Tribolium castaneum: one gene and its partners. The protein of the gene in region 4 purifies or fractionates together with the protein of the main gene of each other region. This does not show direct contact. Links are inferred from orthologs where the notes say so. Each region holds a gene or a part of one and is shown on either strand. Other genes may lie near its edges.

What was found. Proteins that work in one complex are often made in the same cells at the same time.
Region 1: the proteins of mip40 (region 4) and retinoblastoma-like protein 1 purify together in Homo sapiens (affinity purification with mass spectrometry; 3 studies listed by BioGRID and IntAct, with this or other methods). This does not show direct contact. The link is inferred for Tribolium castaneum from reciprocal best matches to the Homo sapiens genes LIN37 and RBL1.
Region 2: the proteins of mip40 (region 4) and protein lin-54 homolog purify together in Homo sapiens (affinity purification with mass spectrometry; 4 studies listed by BioGRID and IntAct, counting the BioPlex papers as one, with this or other methods). This does not show direct contact. The link is inferred for Tribolium castaneum from reciprocal best matches to the Homo sapiens genes LIN37 and LIN54.
Region 3: the proteins of mip40 (region 4) and lin-52 purify together in Homo sapiens (affinity purification with mass spectrometry; 6 studies listed by BioGRID and IntAct, counting the BioPlex papers as one, with this or other methods). This does not show direct contact. The link is inferred for Tribolium castaneum from reciprocal best matches to the Homo sapiens genes LIN37 and LIN52.

The regions. Positions count from the first base shown.
Region 1 is NC_087396.1:19,756,350-19,761,574, reverse strand, and holds the start of retinoblastoma-like protein 1, read right to left. Parts: upstream 3,777-5,225; 5' UTR 3,359-3,776; coding exon 3,224-3,358; intron 3,178-3,223; coding exon 3,044-3,177; intron 2,994-3,043; coding exon 2,778-2,993; intron 2,725-2,777; coding exon 2,246-2,724; intron 2,134-2,245; coding exon 2,080-2,133; intron 2,028-2,079; coding exon 1,990-2,027; intron 1,945-1,989; coding exon 1,775-1,944; intron 1,725-1,774; coding exon 1,535-1,724; intron 1,484-1,534; coding exon 1,280-1,483; intron 221-1,279; coding exon 43-220; intron 1-42. Other genes in the region: WD repeat-containing protein 64, read right to left, coding at 3,903-4,136, 4,187-4,343, 4,398-4,738, 4,797-4,988, 5,045-5,225. UniProt on the Homo sapiens protein: Key regulator of entry into cell division. Directly involved in heterochromatin formation by maintaining overall chromatin structure and, in particular, that of constitutive heterochromatin by stabilizing histone methylation.
Region 2 is NC_087399.1:5,898,786-5,903,854, reverse strand, and holds the start of protein lin-54 homolog, read right to left. Parts: upstream 3,777-5,069; 5' UTR 3,647-3,776; coding exon 3,628-3,646; intron 3,349-3,627; coding exon 3,193-3,348; intron 3,147-3,192; coding exon 2,233-3,146; intron 197-2,232; coding exon 1-196. UniProt on the Homo sapiens protein: Component of the DREAM complex, a multiprotein complex that can both act as a transcription activator or repressor depending on the context. In G0 phase, the complex binds to more than 800 promoters and is required for repression of E2F target genes.
Region 3 is NC_087402.1:6,134,878-6,138,822, forward strand, and holds lin-52 (protein lin-52 homolog), read right to left. Parts: upstream 2,507-3,945; 5' UTR 2,393-2,506; coding exon 2,359-2,392; intron 2,166-2,358; coding exon 2,076-2,165; intron 2,025-2,075; coding exon 1,923-2,024; intron 1,870-1,922; coding exon 1,724-1,869; 3' UTR 1,477-1,723; downstream 1-1,476. Other genes in the region: probable protein phosphatase 2C T23F11.1, read left to right, coding at 3,039-3,657.
Region 4 is NC_087399.1:3,374,676-3,379,202, forward strand, and holds mip40 (protein lin-37 homolog), read right to left. Parts: upstream 2,336-4,527; 5' UTR 2,263-2,335; coding exon 2,084-2,262; intron 2,039-2,083; coding exon 1,865-2,038; intron 1,815-1,864; coding exon 1,652-1,814; intron 1,606-1,651; coding exon 1,457-1,605; intron 1,409-1,456; coding exon 1,387-1,408; 3' UTR 1,298-1,386; downstream 1-1,297. Other genes in the region: RE1-silencing transcription factor B, read right to left, coding at 292-1,017; uncharacterized protein LOC107398505, read left to right, coding at 4,094-4,165, 4,214-4,527.

The sequences.
Region 1 (5,225 bases), on a different chromosome or scaffold from region 4:
ATTTTTGTAACAATCGTATAACATAAAAAATAGCAAAAATACTTGGTTCAGAATTGAGAATACTTCTCAAGGTTAAGTTTTCAGAACTTGGTTCATTTTGCATATGCCCTGGCAAAGCCGTCTCTTCGAATTTCGGTACTTCCCTATCGGAAGATGTTATTGCTTCCCAAATTAAACTGTCTGATTTCCAGACCAGCGAGGAAAGTATAGTTTCCTCGATCTAAAAACGACAGTTTCATACAAAACAGAGTAAAGGTGGAGAACAGAATGAGAAACAGAAACTGCTGACTAATTATAATAAATTATCAGTGATTGAAATAAATCATAATCCTTCTTCACTGTTTGCTTTATATGTAGAAGATATCTGAAGCTTTAAAACAAAATATTTACTCGTAAATTCGACAATTAAATATTCAAATAAAATACAGTTATGCATTTCTTATTATATGGCCCTTGAAAACTTTCAAAAATTGATTAAAAGAAGAGGATTTTTATAAAACCTGTCTACAAGATAGTGTAGAAAAATCAATTTGACCTAATTTCTTAATGATTTTTCAGTCCAGTTTATCAAAACGTCGCGAAAAACCTGACTATTGAGCTCAAAAATGTGTTTTATTTCTCGAAAAAGATTAAAATAATTGCGTTTCTTGATGAAAAACACGTTTAAACCCTTAAAAAAAGCAAAATAAATGACATTCTCAACCGACTTTGACGATTTTTCTGGCAGAGATTAGCGAAATTTAGCGAAGAAAATGAGTTTTTAGCTCAAACACGTACTTACCGCTTCAATTTAAAGATTTCGTCTTAAATTAAAAATTTGCTAACTAGAAAATATACTTAAACCATTTAACGTAATTTAATTTTTTAGTTCAAAAAAAACCAGACAATAACACCGTTTTCGAGCACAATAATTTAATTTCTTTAAACTTGCGCCAAAATTCTTTAAAATAATTGTGTCCTTACATATGCAAACCGTGTTAAAACCCTCTTAAATAGGAAATAAATGTCACTGCTAGTTTTTTTTCTGCCCCAGTTCAGCGTAATTTCACGAACAAATTTAGTTTCTAGCGCAAACACGTGTTTAAATGGCGAAAAATTACACTATTTTTGAACTAATTTCATAATTTCCGCTTTTTTTTAATTTGACGAACTAATTTTATTTAGAGGTGGAGAGTATATTGAAACATATTTTGGTCTATTTTTGAGAAAATTTTATGATTTTTTGCACAGTTTCACGAAATCTCAAATCAAAAAAACATCCCGACTGTAATGTTCTTACCATATTAAGGTGTTTGATAGTGTCCCTTGAAAGCTTATCTCTTGAGCGAATGATAAGTTCAATCACTTTAACAAAATTATATGGTTGTATTTGCAGTGCTTTCAATATCCAGGGGAACCTTTGCCGACTATTGTATGAATAAATAACAATTTCTAAACAACAAGCAAACATACATTCGTAAAATACGTCTTTTTCCACAATGGCCTAAAAAAACAATAAAAATACTACAGAACAAATAATAATTAAAAAACATACCGATAAATCAGCATGTATTGAGCGCTCATTCTGCAGAATACTTTCAATAAATTTATAAAACAAAGTTGTCGCGAGCTGCAGTCGCCTTTGTGCTACTTCTCTTTGGTCAACTGGGTGGCCTTCCAGAAACCTCTCCCCCAAATTTGTAACAATTTGATTGATTCTCTCAGTTGGATTGCGAGCACAAGACCTTAAAACATCATCATAGACACGTTCAACCACTCTGGGCGTCATAATTACTCAAACAATTGCACTAAAGCCTCACTGGGGGCCGGCTGGCGCCCATGAAGCAAGTTATTAAGCCTTGAAATGCTTTCAGTAGCTGTCACAAGCGGAGTCGACTCTTGCGACTCCTTCGGGCCCAAATATTTGCGGCCAGTGAGCGGCGTCAAACACTCTTTACTAACAACCTATTAACAAACGTAAAAAAAATACCACACACAAAAATAAAATACCATTTCTTTGGTCGATAACTCCGGACTTGCGTTGTCAGCTGAAATTGCAAAATTCAATTGTTTGATCATAGATTTCTCGATTCAAATTACCTGCATTTTGCGCCACACTCTGGTCTCTCACTAGAAGTTTTCTTTTGTACTCAGCTGGAATGAAACAGGTGTTAGGGCAAGGTCAGGAGCATCTGTTCAGGTAAGACAGTCAGCTGTTTGCGCAGCTGGCTCGCCATATGATTGGACTAGCTGTAAAATCACTCACCCAGGAAAATGCGCTCGTCAAAATCGCTCTTATTCAGGATATTTTTCTCGTACACGTTCCCAATGCTTTTGTAATTATGGTCAAACACCGAGGTGTCCAAGACATCGCCTTGGTCGTTCTCAATCAAGACGCCTTGGTCGAGATAATTCCGAATCGATTTTTTGAACTGGTACTCTTTTACGTACTTCAGGTCGGTGATTATGTTCGGACTGGGGCACAGTAAGCTGACGATGCAAGGGGCCTCCGAAGGGGGCACATAGCTGGGCTGGGCGAAGTCTTCAGGCAGGCCCGCAAAGTCGGGGTTTAGGAGATCCTTGCGGTCGGCTTGGAGCGCATGTTTGAACGCCCAGTCGCAAATGGCAATAAGTAAATGACACGACGTGACCAAGTCGTTGTTATAATTCGTGTCTTCACTTTTTATTGTGATAAACAAGGTCCAACAAAACTCGAAGACTTTGAGTGGGGACGAAGGCACAGGTCTAAAATATACAATTTCGTAGTTGAAATAAATTGGTTTAGAGAGACTTCTTACTTATTTTTCCGGTTTCTGTGTTTACTTGTGTCCAGTTCGTGCGCTTCTGGAGCTTTAGGTGCCTTAAATATTTGCATAAAGAGAGGCTGGTATTCTTTAAAAACGTTGTAAGCCACAGAGAAGCTCCCTTCCAGATACTCAATCCGCTTTTTGAACTCCTCAGGCATGCTGGCCATGTCCGACCATTGTTTGATTTTGTAAAAGAACTGTGCTATGCTGTAACCATGCGTTAAAAATAACCCAAAGACTGTTTGTTGTTGGCTGACCTTAAGTTACAATGACGCAGAAGATTGGTCAAGTTAACACAATTCGTGTGAACACTATTTTGTGCAGCCGTTGCAGCGATGGACTTCCAACACGACACGTATATTGCACACCCTATCCAGTGGAGGGGCTCCCCCTGAAAATCCCGATAGTTTGCAGTGATTTAAGGGGTTGAGACTCACCTCCAGAGTGAAATTCTTGTTAATTGTCTCAAATCGCTCCCAAGCGTCTCTGGAAATCTGTTGGCTCAGGTGCAGTTTGTTGCACAGTTCTGAGTGTTTCTCCTCCAATTCTTCGGTTTCGCTTGATAACACCATGATTTCCAACAATTACAAACCGCTGCTAAACAATTTCGCACCACTAGCCACCATTGAGCTCTTGACAACGCCTACAAAAGGCGGGAATCCACACAAGAGACGACTAAAAAACAACACAATCACGCTCAAACCCCGACTTTCCCGCTTTGCACATTATTTTCGACGAGGAAATGCCGCTAAAATCCAAAATATTTCGGCGTTTACGCGCGAATACGTACACAGTTTTTTGTCGATCAGCCAGAACTACTTTTGACTGCGCATGGAGGGTAACCTCAAACCCAAATTTGGAAAGTTACCAGTAACTTTATAATCGAAGCACTTTGCAAGTTTTTAGCCACACTTTAATTAATTAGGACACTATGTGCCAATACAGCTGCTGTGGGCACGAAAAGGGGAGAGAAATGGGCTTTCCCGCCAATTCTTAGCGCCAAACACAAACACCGTTTAGGGAAGTTTCGCATTAGTGGAAGCTTCACCTGCTGGCTTGGGGACGCGCGCAAGATGAATTTTAATTTTTATTACAAAAATTTTTATTACAGTGATACTAGTCAAATTCAATAACACTGCTTCGTGAGGACCGTGGCGAGCGGCTGGAGGAGGGTTCCGAAAATACCAAGTCCTTGTAACTGGCGTCTTGTAAAACTTTCTCGATTTTTTCCACAATATTTTTCGTTTTCTTTTTGTCAGGGACGGGCAAGTTTGGTGTTAGGTATAGGTCGCTCACTTCGGGTAGCTCCAGGGCTAAATAGGGAGCACCGCGTGCAACGTTTTCTCGCATCTAAATATTATTTGTTGACATAAATAAAATCAATTCATTGCTATACATGCCTGCACTTTTTTTCGCTCTAATGTCGCAATTTTGAAATTGATATCGCTCTTACTTGAGCCATCATTTGCAAACAGGTCTTTTTTTAGAATAAATTCCAACTCTTTTATTTTTTCTTTGAGAAATTTGTCATCAATTGCTTCTTCAAACTGTTCTTCTCTGTAATAGCGTTAACAATTTAATAAAAAACGAGGTTTAGAAAAAAAATCATACTTATTTATTGTTTCGGGACTATCAGACGTTCTCCACATTTTTGGAATCAAAACACTATTTTGTAGAGGAGGTGGAGGCAAAACTTGCGATTCAACAATTTTCTGTATTTCGTTGCTCTGATTTACTATTTTAATAACAGCGATGTGATTGCAACAAGTGATTAACAGTGGTGATCTTTCAAAAAGTTCGATCTCAATCTCATTAAAGGAAGTGCGTTTAGGGCCGGGATAAATGCATTCAATTCCCCATTCAATTAATTTTCCAAACACTTTAAAAGACGGGAAACTGATAGAAAAACTTTGAATGCACTTTTGTTTTTCCAAATCCCATAATTTAAACATCTACAACAATTATACAAAAATTAGTAAATAGAATTAAATGCAAAATAGAAAAATATACTGCATCAGCTGAACAACTAATAAGTAAATTTAGTTTATCCAATATTTTAACGTCCATAATCGGTGCTTGATGTCCTTTCAAAATTGCGATTGGTTTTGAGGTAATAATAGGGTTCCACAATCTCAGAACAGAATTTTCGCTTCCTGTGGCTAGTATCTTACGTATTCTGCTTAATGCAAAACAGTTACAACCCTAGCGGTTTAATAAATAAATATGACAACTTTCGTAACAGTGACTGTGTTACTTACTTTTTGTATCTTGAAAATGTACGGCTTGTTTTTATTTCCGATATAATGTATTAATATTGACACATTTGAGTCTTTGCTGCAAGAAATAAGAGTTTCATTATCATTAAAATATACAAGCCATTTGACACTCTCTTGATGTAGACGCCCGTTACGTTTAACAACAACGTAATCACTTTCATCT
Region 2 (5,069 bases), about 2.5 Mb from region 4:
CGGGGGCTTTTGCAGCAATGTTTTTCAACGGTTTGGGGGCGATAGTTGCGCCTTGGGACGCCGGTTTGAGTTCCGACAAGACAATGTTGGTTGGGGACGCTTGCATTGACGATTTTACGGTCGTGAGGGTGGAGGCTCCCGAGGAAAAGGGCGTGGTCTCGGCATTGGTGGCCGTCACAAACTTAATGTATTGCATCTGAAAAGGAGAAAATTAATTCAGTAAATTGAAACACAACGGCGTTTTTCGACCAAGTTCCGGGCTTATTTTGGAAAATACACGAAAAAAACAAATATATCATTTTATTCAAAATTTATTTTTTTGGGTCGTTTAAATGAAATAATTCGAAAACTGAGTTTTTAACAGGTGATACCATTTTCCAACTAAATTATTTTTGGACGGTTCTTTCGACGAAAATTTTTGAAATAAGTATATTACTAGCTGCAAAATGTACTGCAAGCACCAAAAAAAAGGCAGAAATAAAGTCATTATTTGAGATTAAGATGTACCTATTACGGGTACAAACACCCAAAAAAAAATATTGGTAAAAGGTGCTTGAACGCTCAAAAAATGCAAAAATGGCACAATTTTTAACATACTTTAAAACATTTTTCAATTTTAAATAAATGATAATTACACCGTTTTTGACATTATTTATTGTTTTTAGGTTAATATTTTACGAAAAATTTACGTTTTTGGCCGTAAAAGTCACTAATATTTCTTGAAAAGATAAAAATTTTATACTTTTTCACATAATTAGTGATATTTTTTGATCCATTTTAACAAAACCTCGCGAATAACTTGAGTTTTCAGCTCAAAAAGAACCAAAAATGGTCCAAATATAATCATTTTTCATAGAATTTAGCAATTTCTCGGTTTACTTTTATCTAGGTTCCGTAATCTTTTACATAATTTACCAGTTTACCGAAATCTCTTTCGAAAAAAATATAGAATTTTTAATTTAAAAACTGCTTAAACATTTGAAAATGACCAAAAATAACATTATTTTTGGTATAATTAGTAATTTTACAGCTTAGTTTGCAGTCTTCAAAGTAAAAGTTAAAACAAAAGCAATTGTATTCTTAAGAGTCCACTACAGTATTTTAATTTTTCTTTAACACTTATTATTGATGCACAGTAATTTTTTTTAAAGACCTTCTATTTAAAAAAACACTGAGAAAAATGGCTGAAATTCGGTGCTTTATAGCGTGGTATTCTCCTCCTTAATGAGTTAATGACATCGCTCTTATTAAAAAAAAATTCTAAATAGCAGTCTGGCTTTCTTAATTTGCTTTTTTGATCGAAAAATCGCGCGAAAAAATTCTTTTCATTAAAAAAAACATGAGAAACGTTCCCAAAAGGTAAAGATTGCATCTTTTCCGAACTAGTTTGGTCAATTTGGTGAATTTTGGTGCACTTTTTTTAATCACTTCCTTAAAATAATTATATTTTTTGCTAATAAATCGCAATAAAATGCTCGTAAAGTCAAGTTAATGCCATCAGAGAACTAACTTGGCGATTTTTTGGTCCAATCTAACAAAATTTAGTTAAAAATTTTGTGTTTAACGCTTAAAAGGGGCAACAATATTATCGTTTTTTTTTAGTTTATTTCTGATAAAACTCCTCTAAAAAGTTACAATTAGGTTCCTGGCTGGAAAGAGTATAAAACGCTCACAAAAAGCACAAAAACGCGTTCGCGTTTTGACTTTAGGAATTTTTTGTTCCAGTTTAACCAAAATCTCGCGATACGGTCTTTCTAAAGTCCTCAAAAAAAAAACGATGGAATTTTTTACCCACCTTATAGTGGCTTTTTGGGTTATTTGTAACGAAAGTCCTAGAAAGAATTGCGGTTCTGTCAGTAAAACCGATTAAAATGCTCCCAAAATGGCAAAGAAAAGTAAATTCTGATCTAATTTACTCATTTGATAGCTCAAGAAGTCTTTAGACGTTCGAAAAGGGAGAAAAACAATATCATTGTTCATATAATTCGGAGCTTTTTTGCTTACTTCTGATGATATTCCCCGAAATTATTCGTATCCTGGTTGTAAAAAATTCAAAAATAAAATTTTTCACATGATTCAGTGATTTTTCTTTACTACGAAACTCCTCAAAAAAACCTACTTAAACGCTTTAGAAATACAAAAATGCGATTTTCGAACCAATTTGATGATTTATCGACTAAGTTGGGCCCCAACTGGTCGAAATAATCAACTGATCCACCTTGAAAAACTCACCCCTTTCCCTGGAATATTAATCTGATGCAACTGTCCCGTGCTCAGCGCCTGCGTCCCTGCCACTTGTATAATTTGCGGCGAAGACAAAATCGTGTGCCCCGTCCCCGAACTCTTGAAAATAATCCTTTGGGGCACCTTCCCTCCAGTCGCCTGCGTAGCTGGAAGTATCTTCGTGGGCGACTTAATCTGACTCACGACCGTTTTCTGCCCCAACAACTGTCCTGGCGCCACTTGGGGCACAATTTTAATCGCCTTGGTGCCAGGATTATTCAAAACCATAGTACGCTTCGGTGTGGAAGTGGCCTGCGGGAGCACCTTGGTGGTGGTAATGAGCCCCATCTCCTGCGCTTGCTGAAGGGTTATAGTCTTGGCGGGGCTCGGAAGCGTGGTTTGCCCCGGCATTAGCTTGACTTGGTCGGCTTTCTGCACCACCATAATATGCCCCTGCTTGTTGGTGAACGTGGGGGTGGTCTTCGGGGGCGTTTTCTGCGTGGAGGTGACGATTTTCTTCATGACGACTTGCTTGGGCTGGACTAAGGTGGTGGTGACTGTTTTGACGGCGGGCTTGATGGCCACGGGGCGCCCCAAAGACACGTTGGCGAGGTTCAGCTCTTGGCCCCCGGATGAGACCAGTTTGATGGCTTGGTTGCCGCCAGTCCCCTGGAGGAGGAGGAGTTGTTGGCCGGGGGCCGGCTTCATGGCGATGGGGACCGCCTTGGCGGGTTTGGGGGCTATGGTCAGGGGGCGCAATGGGGGGATTGTGGAGGTTTTGATTTTGACGTCCGGGAGGATCTCCTCGGGGGAGGGGGCGCGTTCGGTTTCAATCTCAATCTCTTGGGCCCCTATTTCGGACTGCATGACGTCAGCGTCCACTTGACCGGTCTCCTCAACTGTCTCGATTATCACCTCTGGTTCTGAAACCTGTAGTTGAGGGCGATTTTGGGCAGAGGCCGGGCTTACCGTCGGTCTCCATGTCGTTTGAAAGGTGCAGCTCTTGGGACAGTTCCGCCAGTTGCTGGATGTCTGTGGAAGACAAACTCGTGAGGTTTGTCTCGGTCAGAGTGGCCCCATCGATGGTGAGAGTGTCCACGAGGGCCTCCACGTCTTCGTTGTTACCTGCAAGCGAGGCATTTTTGAATTCTGACCCCGGGAATTTCACACTTTTGGTTCAAATTGAAAAATTATTGACTCGTGTGTAAACCGCAATACCAGTTAAAGTGTGACTGGACGCGTCCATGGTGCTCGCAAATTCGCGCTAAGGCCCTAGGTTTGATTCAAATTTGGAGCCTCAAGTGAAAAGGACGCTTTTTAAAATCGCGCTCCTGGCGTGGAAAATTTGGCCACGAAACGACCCACAATTAAGAAGGAAGCCAGTGTCCAACGCAAATACACTACCTTTGTCACTGAAGGGCATAATTGCGCCCGATTTTACCGAATTTTCACAAAAATTAAAACTATTCAAAACACCATAGTCAAATTTGACATGTCACGTGACCAGGGAAGCGTTCAAACCACAGAACAGTAAGGGTTAAGAAGTGATAATTCCCTAGTAAATCACTGGCAACACGAGAATCCAGCGCCTCTGGTCCTGAAGTGCGTTACTACCACGGTAAAGCGCCACGTTTGAATAAATTCCTTTTATATTGTTTTTTATTATTTTTATCTTACAAGTTTCATTGCAAATTGTTTAAAATAAAAAAATATATTTTCATTTTAAACAAAGTGAAAACGTTTTATATTTATTTTAAACAAAATTTGCAATGAAACTTACAAAAAAAGTTGTTTTGGGGTAATAAAACACAGATTTTGTTAACATTTTTATTGTACACTTGAGTAACATAACAAATTAAATTTTTCAAAAAATTAAAGTATTGTATTATTTCTTAATTATACAAAAATTATCAAAAAATTAAATCAGTCAGTGTTGGCATGTTTTGCCTGTCTGCTCGAGACTTAAAACAAAATAAGGTCTGCTTTGCAATGACTTTTACCTTGTCTGTCAGCAAACAGTTGCCCACGCTACGACCACGAGGAGGTACAATTTTGAACTTACAGGATCCTCAATTTTGCAGGCATTCTTCCACAATTCTTGAAGCTTTGGATTCTTAGGGAAGGTGAAGAAATGCTTATTGGACTGTCCTTTGTTGGGAACATAACCACTGGTGCATCCGGGGTATTTGCAGGAATATTTGCGATAACCAGCCATGACTAAAGTTCGCTTGAGTAGTAGAAATCAAAAATCCGTCACTCCAGCCCAGAGACCAATGCCTTTAAAATAGAAAGAAACACCAATCAAAAAGATGAGGTTATATTAACAAAAGAAGAGATACTTATCTTTTTCGTCGGCGCTCAACACCAGGAATTGACTCACTAACGAACTGTAATCAGAATTTTTGCTTTGATTAAACGATTAAACAAATAATTACTACATACTTCCGGTAACACGTTGAACGATGAGTGACAAAACAACACTTTTGGCGCGATATTTTCGAAGCGATCTTTTTAGCGATCTGCGCGCAAGCCATAGAATATAGTAGTTATAGAAAATCAAGTAACACGTAATTCACTGGTCGTCAAAATTTCGATAATAGCGCCATATCTTGGTAGTATGAGGAACTAAAATTGGCGGCAAATTTAAATATTTTATTATTTATACAATTAATTTAATATTATAATTTTTTTACAATTTAAACACACATAACCGATTTTATTGAAAATCGGTTAAATGTGTTTAATTGCAAAATTTTGTTAGTATTATAAATATAAAGAAAAAATAAATACAATGAATGAAAATAATTTATTAATGAATTAACGTTTATAAGAAATAAATGTCGTGT
Region 3 (3,945 bases), on a different chromosome or scaffold from region 4:
GTAGGTTTTATATTTATGCGAAATGGACCTAGATGGTTGTAGCAATTCCATTAAATAAATAATGTTGTAATGATCAGTGTAACATTTTATTGACATTATTACGGTAAACAAATTTAGTAATTGATGTTACGACACTATTTTATATCTTTACTTCGACTTTCTTTGTGAAATTTTTAAGCGTATTGGACAGTTTTTTTTTTGGATATAATGCAGGAAATGAGAGTTTGTAAAAGGACGAAGCTATTGAATCTGATTGAGATTTTGTAGGCCCATTACAAGGTCAGGATATAAAATATGGAAACGGCATTATTGAAGCTAAAGCATTGATTCAAGCCAGAGTAAAGTTACAAAAGTTCAGGCCGTTTTTAAAACGAAGCGAGGACATAATTCACATCAAACAGCAGTCAAAATATTTTTTTTCAACAACATGAAGGGAACTAACAATTTTTATAAGTGTTCAATGTAATTCAATGAAAATAAGTAGTGACTTTTGGTTTTTAATTAAAATTAAAGCGTTTTTCTTCAAGAGTGGATTGTTGGTTGCAGCCATTCTACGCGAAAAAACATTTTCTTCGCAAACTTTGAAAATTTATTACAATATTCAAAATAGTCCCCGAAGAGTGAATCAGTTATTACCGGAAAGAAGGAAAATAGTGAAAATAATGAATAAAAATTTTGCAAAATGCTTTTACAGAAAAGTTGTTGTACTTGTGCTTGTACACGCCCTTTATAAACGATCAAACACCCTTTTTAATGTAAATGTTTGACACGAAAAGTTTATTTTTGCCCAATAGACATTTCAATAAATCACACTAAAGTTTATGTCGTTGACTCAAGGAAGATTTGTCTACCCTTAAACCTACTCAATAATAATTAATAACGCTCTAAAAGAGCAGAAACGGACACAAAATTCATAAAAGTAAAAATTTTTACATTTTCAAACTACAAACAGTAGCCAACGCAGAAACCATATGAAGGTAGGTGCATCTTATTTAACGCCAAGTAAAAAATATTTGATTTATGTGTTGTTTTTTTTTCATAAATAATTCCTTTATTTTCTAATAATCATTGTTTACCTCATCCTTAATTCCTTTTTTCCTGGCAAGAATGTTCTAAACCTTCTTCTGGTTCTTGCTGGACAAATGAGTTATTAATTTGACTAATTAGAGCAATCCTTAAATACGAGTTTTTTAACGCAATTTGCAAAATCGAGAAATTTTATAAAAATTAAAAAAATGTTAAGGTCCTAAGGAATGTTTGTCCGAACATGATTTTTTACAGTTGAAGGCCCTATTAGAGAGCTTAATCTCCTGCAAAAATAATTATCAATTTACATTCCACCGGATATTTTTAATCTAGGAAGCTGCTGGGTTCAGTAATAATAATAATAATAATAATAATAATAATGCATCACCTCATTATTGTTTTGGTGAGCTAACGGGGAACAAAATTTTAATTGTAGAAAATGAAGACACCTTTTACAAAACCAAATTTATTTTCGATTTTTATTATACAAACGAAACTTCAGCAGTGCAATATAATACATAAATCCTTTTGAAGCACTTGCTTAATAATACATTACAAAAATGATTTTCTCCAGGAAATTAACGTACAATCACTTCTTTAAACTTAAACTTATAATCCTATGTACAAATATATTTCCCCTGCTCTTTTTATAACTTCCACGTTATTTGGAACCTCTACTTAGGTAACAAATTGCAAATCATTTCTGCTTCTGCCTGGGCTTAAAAACATTTAAGTATTTCCCCCTTGTGACTTCTTTCGATTCCTCAACACCCAACTGATATGCAATATCATGCAACTCCTTGACTTTAGAAATCAGTCCAGCTGTTGGAAGAGCTGCTAATTCTACAAAAACCACACTCTTCTCTACAATCACACAAAAACTAATCCAAACTTACGGTGCAGATAATTCTGGTCATCCTGACTCAATTCCTTCGAGTAAGGCAGTTTTACGGCACTTGGTGGCGTGAAACTGTTTACAAAATCTGTCATTCCTGGATCTGAAACCCTATTATTGCCCTAATCCCACAAACATGTGCAACGCTACTTACACTTCTCTGGCCAAATTTCTGGAGAGGCTCTATCCAGATTTTCCATACTCATTAAGGTCTGCTCTAGATCGCTCAAAGATTGATCTTGCTCTAGGAAATGCAACAAATCAATTATATTTTGACAGATTGACATAAGCCACTCTGTTTAAAATGCGAACTTGTCCACGCACGCTAGCCGACAATTTCGCGTAAACTGTCCATGCAAGGCCTCAACAATCGTTTAATAATTAAATTGAGCCAAAAGTAACATTTACAGGGTGATTTTTTATTAAAAATGCTTTACCTTGTTCAATGCTCCCGGGTTTCTCGGACGCCATCTTGCAATTGTGCCAACTGCAGCAAACGTAATCAAAAGGCTGCGCTTTTAGGGGGACTTTGAAAGCGGCAAAGAAACACTATACAGAACGAGCAAAAGTCGCAAATGACCCTAATTGGGTGTCAACCCCGATTCACTTGCCCCCAATTTCGTAAAAGTTTGGTTTTTAAATTTGGCTGGTGTATTAAGTGTCGCAATGTTGGCGCTTCCCTCGCCAAGATTGTAAAATCAAATCGTAATTTAATTAGTAATAAGTAACAACGAATTTATTGTCAATAGTTTTTATTTGAAGAACGTGCCGCACATTTTTATTGTTTAGGACATAAAAAAGTTTTCGGCCTTGTGCACAGGCGATGACGCACTCAGCCGGCCGCGTCCCAGCTCGACATTCAAACGTCAAGTTTCTCTTTTTTCGAAGAGTTCTCTCCCGATTAACCTAAATATTGCGTTCCATATCTCGTGACACACAACAGCAAAAAGCGGTGTTAATTAGCGTACGCAAAATATGCGATTCGATTTAGCACAAGTATGCTAAATAAAACCCATCCAAAGAGCAGAGTTCAATTTTGAGTAAGTAGCGACGGTTTTTTCCCGCTTGCCTCGTGTTTTTGCGCTTTTTGCGGACTTATCGCCCTTTCAGGGGTACTATGGGTCAAACTTTGTCCGAACCGGTGACTGCCAAGAACACAGCATGCTGCCAAAACGCCAATTTCCAAGTGGGCTCAAGTTCGATGCAGGGCTGGCGCATCAACATGGAGGACTCCCATACGCACATCTTGTCCCTGCCGGACGACCCCGAGGCCGCGTTTTTCGCGGTCTACGACGGGCATGGGGGCTCCAAGATCTCGGAGTACGCGGGCAAGCACCTGCACAAGTTTATCACGAACCGGGAGGAGTACAAGAACGGCCAGATCGAGGAGGGGCTGAAGCAGGCCTTCTTGGAGATCGACCGGGTCATGCTGGAGGATGAGTCGTTGAGAAACGAGCAGTCGGGCTCCACAGCCGTCACTATTATTATCAAAAATGGCACGTTGTACTGCGCCAACGTGGGGGACTCTAGAGCTGTGGCGAGCATTGGGGGCAAGGCGGAGCCGCTTTCGAACGACCACAAGCCGAACAACAAGGAGGAGTACGACAGGATCGTAGCGGCGGGAGGGTTTGTTGATTACAACAGGGTTAACGGGAACTTGGCCCTTTCCAGGGCCCTCGGTGATTTTATTTTCAAAAGAAACGAGGATAAACCCCAGGAGGAACAAATCGTTACAGGTAAGTCTGGAAATTGCGAGCTAATCTTGTTTAAACACTGTCAATATTTATGTTAGTCTTTTATGAATTGTGTATATTTAGATCAAGTGAGTAATTGGGTACTTAGGTAAATAATTACATCAGTTGATGGATGGTCCCATTTGATTCAAAGGGTGTGTTATTTTTAAAGTTACGTTGTCAGCATATGTTACGAATTAAGTAATCTGGCGGTGTTCCACTTGTGTCATTCATTAATTAAAAATATTTACAATTGTTATTAATAGGCGACCACCACTAAGTGATTAAAAG
Region 4 (4,527 bases):
ATCTTCATAATAAATACGATCACCGAAAACCACTCCGCGCACGATCGCGAATGTAAAATAATCACCAAGGGCTCGAGAATTAATCGAAACACAAAAGGAAACAACTAGATTTTATACTTTTTTAGGTTACGTTAAAAAACTGACAAGCGGATTGTGATTGGTTGGCGTCGCCACGTGACCGGCTTCGGCCAATCACGCGCGTGAAATGAAACACAGCACATGCGACTTGAGTGTTTTATTTGATTTGAGGTAAAAAATACGAATAAATCCGGTTATTTATAAATCCCTAAACTAAAAAAACGAATGTTTGTGGCTGATGTGTCTGTCCAAATTGGACTTTTTGACCGTTCGATACTCGCACCTTTCACATTTGTACCAACTGAAGTTGAGTTTGGCATGTGTTAACGTATGCCTCGTAAATTCTTCGGATGTTTTGGTCACAAACTCGCACTTTTTACAATCAAATATCTTCAAGCCGTGTTTGTGTGCCCTGTGCCTCAGCAGATGGGGCTCCGTGATGAACACCTCCCCGCACTCTGTGCACTTGTTCTCGTGTGCTCCCTTCGTGTGTTTCGCCATATCGGCCTCCTGGGGGCACACGAACTCGCAGTGCTGGCACACATACCAGTTTAACTTGCCCAGTTGGGTGTGTTTGATGATGACGTGCTGGCGCAACTGCTCCTTGGTTTCGGTCTTGAAGTCGCACTGGTTGCAGGTGTGCCACTTGAGGGTCCCCAGACCCGTGTGTTGGCACAGGATGGGGTCCACGGTCTTGTCCACACAACGGTCGATATATGACGTGTCCATGCTGTTGAAAAACTCGATTCGTTTCTTGAGGGGGTCGAACCGGGGGGCTTCCGAGATGTAGTTGCGGATGGCTTCCATGTCCTGGGCGATTTGCTTGTCTAGGGTAGAGTTTATGGTGTAAAAACGGTTCTCTTCCTCGTCGAGCTCCGGGGCTTCGGGCTCGTCGTCGTCGTCAATAATGTAGGTCTCGATTTCGGTCGAGGTGGCCATTTTTACGATAATTACACTTTCACATAATTTTTCTAAATTGTTTGGGCTTAAAAACAGGTAAAAATTGTAGAAGTTAGGTTAGGACGACTGACAGCTGTCAACAATGTCAGTGCTCAAATTGTCAAAAAAAAACATTCAAAATATTTTAAAGATAAAAAAGGGGCCTGAGAGTCTCTAGGCTAATAAATACATTCATAATATGTGGATAAACATTTCGCTCGTTTGGGTTTGAATGGTCAGGTTGGCAAGAGAATTTCTCGGGGTGTATATTAAAACTGCATTTTGTTGTAAAATGGTTTATTAAATGCGTTGACAAAATCACTACTTTCATTACAACACACAATACAATAAAATTCCAAGTGTTAAAAACTATTCCATTGCTTCTTGTGCCCTGAAAAACAGAAAATTAAACTAGACGAAATTGTACGTGTTTTCGTACTTATTGTAAATAGTTTGGAGCATTTGCGTGCTCAAATGATACCGTTCCTCGTTTTTAACCGCAGTGTCAATCCACTTCTTCTTGACCTTGACCCACCTTTGCAGGTGATTCCTGATCAAGATATCTTTGGGAACAGGTGGACATTCCTCCTGTGATGAAACGATCAATTTTTAGTAATAAATTGTACCATCTTACATAATTCAAATTTATATTATCCTTGTTTTGTTCCGTTTGTTCAGGCAAAGGTGATGGGATTCTACTGACCACGGGACCTATAGGGGGCGGCAACCTGTGCAAGTCTGTGATCATGCTCGTATTCCAGTTAAATTCATTAGGTTCAGGTGACGATAATCGGCGCCTAAATAATTTGGTTTAAAATTGAGTTGGCAACAATGATTGCAAACTCACTTAACGATTGATTGCGGATTTCGGGGCTGGTTCTGCATCCAAGCCCTGCAAATGGGGTACAAGGGAGTGTCCTCCTCAAACCGGGCCAAATCTACGCTTCTGTCGAATAATTTCATAACGTAGGTGTGGCGGTAGGGGGTTAGGACAGAGTCGCCTTTACGTTTGCGATTTTCGCTACAAAAATTAGTGAAAAATTGGCCAAAAAAAAGTTTAAATTACTATTTGGAACTCCGTTCATCGGACGAGTCGCTGTCGGAGTCACTTTTCTCAGTTAGTTGCTTGAGGACGCCTTTGAGGCGGCCCTTGGCCATCAAGTAGTCATTGCCCAGGACGTTCTCCTCCTTCACTTCCACCTTAATTGAGCCCAAATTTGACGAAAACTTGCGTTTTTTGGTCATTTTGTTATTTTGAATTGTAACAGTCAATAATGAGGTTAAGGCAAGCGTCACTATGTGAGCACCAACAGAACCGCCTCAAATGTTACTGTTGTGTAACCAAAAAAAAAGCCAGAAGAGTGTGGAAGTTTTTCGATTTGTTGTGTAAAATAATAATATTACAATAGTGCTCCACTTTACTTTGAAAATAGGAAAAAAAAGAATTGTTTTTTGTGACTGAATCACCCACCGAAACAACTTTTTTAGTTGTTATGTTTGCCAGCTTGTCATTTTTAAGTCAAAAGTACCGAGTTTTTTATTATAAATCGTTTAATAGAGTTGTAAAAGCCAGATCTGCGTATGTGTAACGGTTTTTATATTTATTTCGTTTTAACACAGTTGTATTGTTTTGAATAAATTTTTAAATAACAAATAATTTTGTTTTATTTCAAACGCTCAAAATAAATAATTATGTGTTCTCATTTTCCTTATTTACTTGTAATTCCTTCAATTACTTTTTTATTGAGTGAATAATAGTCAACAATTTTATTTTTATTCGACAATCTCAACAAAATTAATGACACTCATGGAGCAAAAAATCTTCTGTTTGGTGGCAATGCGCCTCCAAACCGTCTGAAACCTGTACCTCCCCGGCCAGAAAGGCGTCTCAAAATGCAGCTCAAAGGGCCATCTTTTTACCGAGTAATTCCCCGCAGGGATGGGACATGTACCAGGCCGTTCCATCCCCATAACTTTGCCCAACCTAACCATTGAATCTTTGCTATACTTCATCAAAGTTTTACAAACATCTTTCTGGAAAGGAACACCTGGAAACGACTTCCAGCCGCCATCGACAAATCTTTCGATAAAATAAGTCCCTTCAGAGGTGTCATCCACCGCATGGGCGAAGGAAAATTCCATGGTAATGGCCCGATGGGTGCGGTTAAGCCGATCAATGCGGATAAGTTTCATGGGGATTTCAAGTTTATCATTATCAGGGCATAAGTAAGCGGATTCAAGGTCCGCAGTGAATCTGTTTACTAACTAAAATGTAAATGTTATAATTTGAAGAAAAAAATAGGTGGAAAAGTGTTACAAAACTGACGCTGACGGTGTTTCCAATAAATGAAAGTAGTAACAAGTTTTCGAGAAACATTGCGTGTTATTTGTAGACTGAAATTGGACGAAAAAATCATTACATGAGTCAAATATACGTCACAAAATGATTGTTTTTGCATATTTTGTCCTAAAAGAGTGTTAGATATCAATTAATCCACAAAATTTTTTGAAAAAAAAATATTTTTTTTGAATTTTTTTTATTTAATTTGACTTAAACAATCATTGACAAGACTTTTAAAAAAATTATTTCTAACACTTAATTGTCTCAAAATTATGATTGTTCTATTCATAATTGCAATATGTAACATTTTCCCGGCGCATCCACCATTTTTAATTGTCCTATAAATTCTTATAATAACTGTAGATTCAATTAGAAGCAACTCATCTAGTATCCACAAAAAAACCCTTACCTGTATTTTACAAATTACTTAAAAAGTAGTCAAACAACTGTAAATACAGCCAGTTTCAAAAATCCATTCGGAAAAATTTTCAGTAAAATGGTCAAGAATGACTGTTAGCAAAAATAAATTTTATTTTTTTATGATACAACAAAATCATTGTTATAGTAAATCATATGTTGTGTTTAAAATCTTTCATTGGTTGTTTGTCAAAAATTCATTTTTATCTCCAATCTCTCATCCGTTTTGTTGCGTATAATAATAACCTCTGGCATGAGCATATAATTGCAAACCTATAAATTAATTGTGTTTTTGTCAAAACTGGCACGAACTACGAAATGTCCTTCCAACTTTTGCGACCCATCCTCTGCTTAATTTTTTTCACCCCAAAAACCACAAACGGCAATTTCGTAAGCCCAATCACCCAATTACAAAAACACCTAAATTTTTTATTCCAGCTCACGAGTAAATTTAAAGCAGACTTGGAAACGGGTTATTTATGCCCTGATAACGACAAACTCGAAGTCCCTATCAGACTTTTCCGAATCGATCGTTTCAATCGCACCCATCGTGCCATCTCCATTGATTTTACATTCGCAAAGCCTTTGGACGAAACGGCAGAAGGTGCAATTTTCGTGGAAAAGTACACTGAAGGAGACTGGAAAATGCTACCGTCCTTGACGTGGCAGAAAGATCCGTGTAACAGTATCGGGATGAGATATGGGCGGGAGAGTATGATCAGGACTGGGAAAGCCCTAGGGTGGAAAAATCC